2 linked regions of the Drosophila melanogaster genome follow. The protein of the gene in region 1 interacts with the protein of each later gene in a pairwise test. Each region holds a gene or a part of one and is shown on either strand. Other genes may lie near its edges. The genes, in order: CG31909 and Sas10.

What was found.
Region 2: the proteins of CG31909 (region 1) and Sas10 interact in a two-hybrid assay, tested with the Drosophila melanogaster proteins (one large-scale study listed by BioGRID).

What each region holds. Positions count from the first base shown.
Region 1 is NT_033779.5:7,255,195-7,258,698, reverse strand, and holds CG31909 (uncharacterized protein), read right to left. Parts: upstream 1,188-3,504; 5' UTR 1,135-1,187; exon of another isoform or gene 1,062-1,134; intron 1,003-1,061; 5' UTR 968-1,002; coding exon 584-967; 3' UTR 501-583; downstream 1-500. Other genes in the region: Wnt4 (Wnt oncogene analog 4), read left to right, coding at 1,439-1,937, 2,012-2,239, 2,453-2,695.
Region 2 is NC_004354.4:5,315,463-5,319,878, reverse strand, and holds Sas10 (something about silencing 10), read right to left. Parts: upstream 2,471-4,416; 5' UTR 2,376-2,470; coding exon 1,089-2,375; 3' UTR 808-1,088; downstream 1-807. Other genes in the region: Rnp4F (RNA-binding protein 4F), read left to right, coding at 1-66, 123-225, 297-743; CG15930 (uncharacterized protein), read left to right, coding at 2,597-2,779, 2,843-3,007, 3,073-3,603, 3,693-3,778, 3,845-4,416. UniProt on the Drosophila melanogaster protein: Essential for gene silencing: has a role in the structure of silenced chromatin. May be involved in gene regulation during development. Binds RNA.

The sequences.
Region 1 (3,504 bases):
CGAAATAACTGGAAACAGATATGGCATGGGAAACCAATTCAAGGGAAATTCCTTCTGCTATTTCTAGAAAACTGATAAGAGAAGGCCATACTAGCATGTGTGTTGTAACTTTTGATAAATCAAATAAAAGTTTCTCATGTGCCGGTTTATTATTAGCAGTAAAAACTTTGTAGTTCAGAATTTCGATTGTGCAATCCTAAGGTTGGTGGTTGCTAATTAATTAATTTAATAAATTTAATTTAATTATTATTATTAATTAATTATTAAGTGTTCAAATGACATATTGGTTTAACTAAGTAGGCGCACAAAATTTAAATTCTCTTTGAAACGGTATTTTTACCGATTGCTCGCACACAAAGCTTCATACAAGTTCTGCTAGATGGCGCACTGGGCGCTGAAATCTGTGTAAAAATCATCTGCAAGCCAAAGATAGGTGTCGCTTTAATAGAAATCCGAATCCAATATACCTGTTATACTTGTAGAGTAAAAGAATAACGGGTACCTGTTTCTTTTATTATTTTTTAACCATAAAAAATAAAGTAACACCCGAATTTTTTTACATTTTTCAAATCCCACCTGTCCGTCAAAGCATATTCATCGAACCTTCAAAAGCGTCTACTTCATCCAGTAAATCTATATTGTCCCTTATAATAGTTGAATCCCTGATTTCGTTTAAATATTTTGGGTTCTCTACGATTTCTCTATATAATTTCTGTAGATCGCTCTTCAATTTATAGAAAAAGTTAGTTAACTTTTTCTCTTCTTCGAGAGAACGACCGCTTTCAGTGTCGACAGTGTCCAAATATTCATAAGTCTCAATATGGCTGGGAGTAGTGCCATCAATTAAGTGATTTAGCTCATCCGCCATTGAAGAAAATTCTTTTAAATATTTATCTTGCAGAGCTCTCTCTACTCGTAGTTGGTTCTGAAGTTCCGATTTGTTAGTATTGGAAAACGAGGGTTCCATTTTTTTTGTTGGTGATGGTGACAGCACCTTGTTGTCTGGCAATTATATGAGCTTAGATATAACAATGGTCAGTTCATTCTGTGTTCATACGTACCAAGAATCTTATTTTGTTTAAAATCAGAAAAATATTTTTTTATGTTAAGATCGAACCTCACTTTCTCACTCACCTCACTCACCGCACTATATAAGTTTTCTGACTGTAGGGTCTATTTGGACTTGACACTTAACACAACTGCCTCTCCGTTCGAAATTTTCCCTTACTCGTAGAGTAAAAGTGCATACTAGATTAGAAAGAATTTTGCGTTCCCACTAGCTGAGTAAGGGCTTTCTAATAGTCGGGGAGTTCGACTATAGAATTCTCTCTTTTTTATAATAAAAACGTAATTTAATTGTGGTATAGCTCTAAAAAGGACTTTTAAGAATACCTTTACCTTTTCTTATGAAAAATTTCGAATACTTTATGTCTGCCAGCGAACACTTCATTTCGGAGCACACGGTGATGGCGGTGTTCACTTCGCAGGGCCAAGTGGGTGGACCCTGCAGATACATGCCTGCCACGCGGCGTCAGAACCACCAGTGTCGCAAGGAGACGGGATTGCCGGGAACCCTTAGCGAGGCCCGCCGTCTGGCCACCACCCACTGCGAGGAACAGTTCCGCTACGACCGCTGGAACTGCTCGATCGAGACGCGCGGAAAGCGGAACATCTTCAAGAAGCTCTACAAGGAGACTGCCTTCGTCCACGCGCTCACAGCGGCCGCCATGACCCACTCGATAGCCAGGGCCTGTGCCGAGGGACGTATGACCAAGTGCAGCTGCGGGCCAAAAAAGCACAACAGGGAGGCGCAGGACTTCCAGTGGGGCGGCTGCAATGACAATCTGAAGCACGGCAAGCGGGTGACACGCAGCTTCCTGGACTTGCGCGGTGGTGATGGTGACGAGGTCAGCGAGATATTGCGACATGACTCAGAGGTAAAGAGATATATTTTAAGGAGCAGAAGGAGATATTTTATAGAATACCTGTGCTAATTAAACTTTCTTTTCAGGTCGGCATCGAAGCTGTCTCCTCGCAGATGATGGACAAGTGCAAGTGCCACGGCGTCTCCGGCTCCTGTTCGATGAAAACTTGCTGGAAGAAGATGGCCGACTTCAATGCCACAGCCACGCTCTTGAGGCAAAAGTACAACGAGGCCATTCGCAAGGCGCCAAACCAGCGATCAATGCGACAGGTGTCATCGAGTCGCATGAAAAAACCAAAGCAGCGACGCAAGAAAGTAAGTTCTTCAAAGAAAAGTAGAGTAGATGTAGAATTATATGTAGAATACATTCGAAAAGGTAGATCTATAACGGGAATTGGTTTCTATGGAGAAAAGGGTATCTGATAGTCGAGGTAGTCCATCTTTATGTTTAGACTTTTAACCACAAAAGACTTTGTTAATATTTTAGAACCTAAACTTAAAAAACTAATAAGTAATTTCCCTTTACAGCCCCAACAATCGCAATACACCACGCTGTACTATTTGGAGACCTCGCCCTCCTACTGCGCGGTCACCAAGGATCGGCAGTGCCTGCATCCGGACAACTGTGGCACCCTGTGCTGTGGGCGTGGCTACACCACCCAGGTGGTTAAGCAGGTGGAGAAGTGCCGGTGCCGGTTCAACAATGGACGGTGCTGTCAGCTGATCTGCGACTACTGCCAGCGGCTGGAGAACAAATACTTTTGTAAATAGACGGGGTGCCATCTCTCGCAGACTTTCTTTGCCCCGTCTCCGTCACTTTCTATCCCTCTACTGTGCTCTTTGAAAATGTAATTTGTAAAGTTTTTTTCTACCTTTATGGCTTGTAATTTTTTTCCATTCCTAACAAATATTACTGAAATGATAAGCAAAAAGAACGAATGCAGAACGATAGAGATCGATCAGAAAGCTAAGGCTTAGCTAAAGGCCAAACTCACCAGCTCACACACACACACACACATACTCAAATGCATAGACACACACAGTCACACAGACACACACAAGCGCATACATGCATCTATCTATTTAATTACTATATAATATATAGTAAACATTAGCTACCGTCGCAAAGAAAAAATCTCAAAAAAAAATCGCAAAACTTTATTTAGCAAAACGGAAAACCAACAAAAAAACACGGACACACACACAAAGAACAACAGAAAAGCAGAAGCTAACAAAACACACAGCAACAAAAACGAAAAATAAAAACAAAAAACAAAAACAATTTTAATAAGTATTTAAACATACAAAACAAACCAAAAAAAATACAAAACTGAAATGAAATATAAAGTTTCACATAAAAATAAATACTCCAATGATCTTTTATTGCGGGTTTGTCTAATTTAAGTTAGAGAGTAACTTTATAGTTAGAAACTAAAGTCCTTGCGAAAATCAGAGCAGACCTAAAAATAAACTTTTAATTAAATTTTCGTTCGGCACTCAACAGTGATGTGCAGCCGTGCAAACATTTGAACAATTAGCGTACTGTCGCTATAAAAATTCGATCCATCACGTTACTTCAG
Region 2 (4,416 bases), on another chromosome or scaffold:
GGAGGAGCTGCACGAACTCTTCTCGCCTTTCGGCACCATCAAAGATGTGCGCCTGGTGCACAAGCTGTGAGTGCGAGATTACAATTACAATTATTGATTTTAAACTATTTGATCCTCTACAGAAACAAGCAGTTCAAGGGCATTGCATACGTTGAGTTCGAGAAGCCGGGCGAGGCGCAACGAGCAGTGGCTGGACGAGATGGTTGTCTATTCAAGGGCATGAATGTAAGCGAATGATGTGTGCCTTCATGTTTAACCGAACCAACCAAAGCAAATGCATTTCACAACTCTTTCAGATCTCTGTGGCCATTTCAAACCCACCGCCGAGGGGCACATCAGCTGTCAAGCCAAGTGTGGCGCCCAAGCGACGTGTGCCCACCTCGCTTATACCCACGACTCTGGTGCGCCAAGAGGTGGCTGCCAAGAAGCTGCGCTTGCTTCTGCCCGAGCCGGGGGACATATCATCCACTTCGGCATCCGTCGACGTGGCCATCAAGCGCGAGGCTAATGGAGAGGAGCAAAAAGGAGATGTTCAAGAACGAGATGAGCAAAAAGGAGAGGAGCAAAAAGGAGAGGAGCAAAAAGGAGAGGAGCCAAAAGGAGAGGAGCAAAAAGGAGATGATCAAATAGGAGAGGAGCAAAGTGGAGTGGAGCAAAAGGGAGATGAGAAAAAAGAAGAGGAGATGCCAGCTGCTGTGCCCAAGTCAAACGATGACTTTCGCAAGCTATTTCTCAAGGATTAGGCGACAAATGCCGGCGGCTGAGCCCGGTGCCAGCGGCCATGGTTTAGTTTGTAAGACGAAGACGAAGATTTGGAGCATATATTTTTTTAGATTTAAGGCAACCTAAACAGACAAGGTTGGAGAACACTGTACAAAGAGAAAAACTGTTGTAAGACAATGATTTTTGTTTCGACTCATATAAATTGGTTTCTTGATGAACCAAGTGAAGAAAAATGTTTGTTTGTTTCGCATATGACAGCTAGTTGACTAATCCCCGGTGAGTCTTTGGATGAAATGGGTGTTTCAAGTGTACAAACATCGAGTTGATTAAAATGTAATGATCTTGGCGGATTTATTGGATAAAAACTAGGTGCGGAACTTGACGCTCTTCGTGACGCCGGCCTTGATGCCGGACAATTCGCCGCCGTAGCGCTGCAGCTCCTTGCGCACCGTGCGCACGGCTCCCTTGCGCCGGATGAGCGCCTTTCGGTATTTGCCGCGATGCTTAACGCGCGGATTGCGCAGCTCCTTTTTGCGGTGCGGCGTGAGGCCCTTGTTCTTGGCCATCTGATAGGTGATGCCGCGTCGCGCATCCTCCTCTTCCTCCTCCTCACCAGCCTCCTCTTGCAGATCCTTCTCCTTACTCTCAGCATCGTCATCGTCATCATTATCATCATCATCGGAGCTCACTGACGCCTGCTGGCCATCGTTGTACTTGTTGAGTATCTGCAGCTTAGCCTTGCGCTGTGCCACATCCAGCACGGTGAATGCATCGCCATCTTCAATCCTCTCCAGCAGCGCCTCCAGCTGCGGTCGAATGTATTCCTCGTAGCGCGGCTTAAGCTCCTCGATCAGATCCTTGAGTTGCACCAGCCGCCTAATCACCGGATGGGCCTTGACGTCGATGCGACGTGCCTTGAGCAGCAGATAGAAAGCCACATTGGAGCAGTAGGTGGTGAGCACGGTGTGGCAGAGTCCGGCATATTGCAGCGCCGGCACCATGGGCACATCGTGTTTGCGAACGTAGTTGAGCACCGGTTTCAATAGGTTCTTCACCTCGTCGAGATGCTGTTGAAAATCCTGGGTGAGAATGATGAACTCCGGCGACTCACTGTGCATCAGCTGTCGTCGCTCGCGTTCTGATAGGCCGGCCAGATCGCTGGTCACTTTGGTTATATGGCTCAGCTCGTTGTCATCACTGCTGCCTGCGGGCGCTGCTTCTACATTGTCCAGCTGGAAATCGGCCTCGCTCATGCGCTTGGCCAGACGCAGCTGGATCTTTTTGGCCTCCTCCTCCTCGGCGCGTGCCTGCTCCTCCTCCTGGGCATTGTAGCTGCTGTAGTCCTGGTCCACAAAGTCGGTGTTGTAGTACGTGCTCCGTTTGCTGCCCCAGTCCATGGTGTTGGGCAGATCGCGGTCATCGTCTTCGGCGCCCTCGATGTCACTGTCGCGCATCAGTTCCGCCACATCCTGCTGCTCCTCCTCGTCGTCGTCGTCGTCGTCGTCGTCATCATCACTGAAACCGAGCACTTCCTGGACGGGATCATGTGGCTTTTTGCGCTGCTTGCGCAGATCTTCGAGTATTTCGCGCTCCTCGTCATCGTACTCCTGGTCGGAGCCGCTCATCACGTAGTCGTCACCGTCGCTGTCCATTTGCTAGCTGCTCTCTGTGCGTTTAAATACAAATTAAAACTAAATTAAATCAAACACAACACGTGCGTAAACAAACGGCTCGATAACACGTTCGATAGCCGCCAATGACCGATTGGTGTGGTGGATTTCGCGGATGGCGCATTTGCCATCTCTAGCGTCTAGCTTACGGCGGTGATGCCACATGGGAAAAGTTCCACAATTGAAATTCAGTTAAAATCAGGATGCAAAGCAAGATGGACGTCAAAGAAGGAAGACTTCAAACTTTGCTCTCGAAATTGAGAAAAATTTCGGAAGAAGCCGAGGATAACAATGATGTGCCGCTCGATTTGCGCTGCCCCAGTGCCAAAATGCGGAATAACAAAGTGTTAGCCGATTTGAGTGACATGCTAAAAGTTGTCGAAGATGTACGTAAATTCAAATTACACATGTATGCTTAGTTAATACTAATAAGTAATTTCCTCTAAAAGATCGCTTTGGAGGAAAAAACTACCGATTCCAAGAAGCCGGCTAATTCTGAACAGCAGATCAATGGAACAATTGAATTAGCACTCGATTTGCGCCAGCCCAATGCCAAAATACGGCTTGTGATTTCCGATTCGAGTGACTTGCAAAAAGTTTTCGAAAAAGCACATGTGCGTCGAAATATATACATATATGTATTGTAGAAATTACTAATAAGTTTTTCGCCCCTTAAAAGATCGCTCTCGAGTTAAAAACAACCGATTCCAAGCCGACGGCTGAGACTGACGACCAGCACCATGTGCGAATTTTCGATAAGATGCTTTGCAACATCGTTGTGCCGCCGGATGTAGCCGATGTCCAGGTGAATGGAAAGCCATTGGAGCAGTTGTTAGCCACCGTGTCGGAGCGCCAGGCAATGAACAATCCTGGCCCAATGAAGATGCATGAACTGCACACCGGCAATGCTGACTTCATGAATAGCAATAGCCAAGTGGCAGAAGCTGCTGCGTCAGTGGAAACACTGCTAGCGTCGACATCGGACAACGATAGCGACAGCGATGGACTCGAATCAAAAACGACGGATGGTTACATTGTCAAGGAACTGATACCGTCGTTTTCCGATTTCCCGGATATCGGTGATGTTAGTTTGTGTGCACTGATGTATGGACTGCCCATGGATGCCGTTGGCATGCACTGGAAGCTGCCGCCGCAGCGTATCCAGGATATCTGCAAGGAGGACTCTATCTTCCCGATCATCATGAGCTGTGTGAGTGCGCTTTGGTCCCGTGCCAAGCAAAGAGACAGCTTTGAAATAGGAGTTCAATCTTTTTTTTTTTGTTTTTTTTTCTTGCGCAGGTGTTCTCTCCGTGTGAGTTCTGGTTCCACATTGTGCCACCGCAGTACGCCAAGAATCCTGTAGCCGAGATGACCATTGATCTAAAGTAAGCTACTAACTAAATCGATTGATTGACTGATTGATTGATAATATTGTTATTTAATGCCCATAGCTGGTTCTATCGCCATACGACGATCAGCAGCTACCGTGCCGAGTTGCCTAGCTATTTCTATAAAGAGGGCTACATATGCGCCGCCTACAGCGAGTGTGGCTGGCGACGTGCCATGGTGCTCGTCACCGCACCGTTGGACGCCCAATGTGTGAACATAGAGTATGTGGATCATGCCCTGTCTGTCACATTGGCACCGAACCATCTACGATTCCTCCCACTAAGCTTTGCGCGCACACCGCCATTGGTATTTCGCGGCAAAATGTCGCACGTACGCCCATTGGCCAATGGGTGGCCAAAAAATGGTATCACCGCATTCCAGCGCATGACATTCAATAGGGTATTGTATGCCCATGTCGGCGAACTGGATACCGCTCAGGGTATATTCTCTATGCGGCTATCGTATGATGAAACTTTTGTGCCCACCATCAACGATCTAATCGAGTCGCGGATCAAGTTGGAGTCCTGTTGCTATGCGCCCGAACTGCAGCCTTTTGGGATGGTCGAGCCGCTAATTATGCCGCTGCACGATTATGATGATGATGATGATGATGATGATGATTTCGCATTCGTTC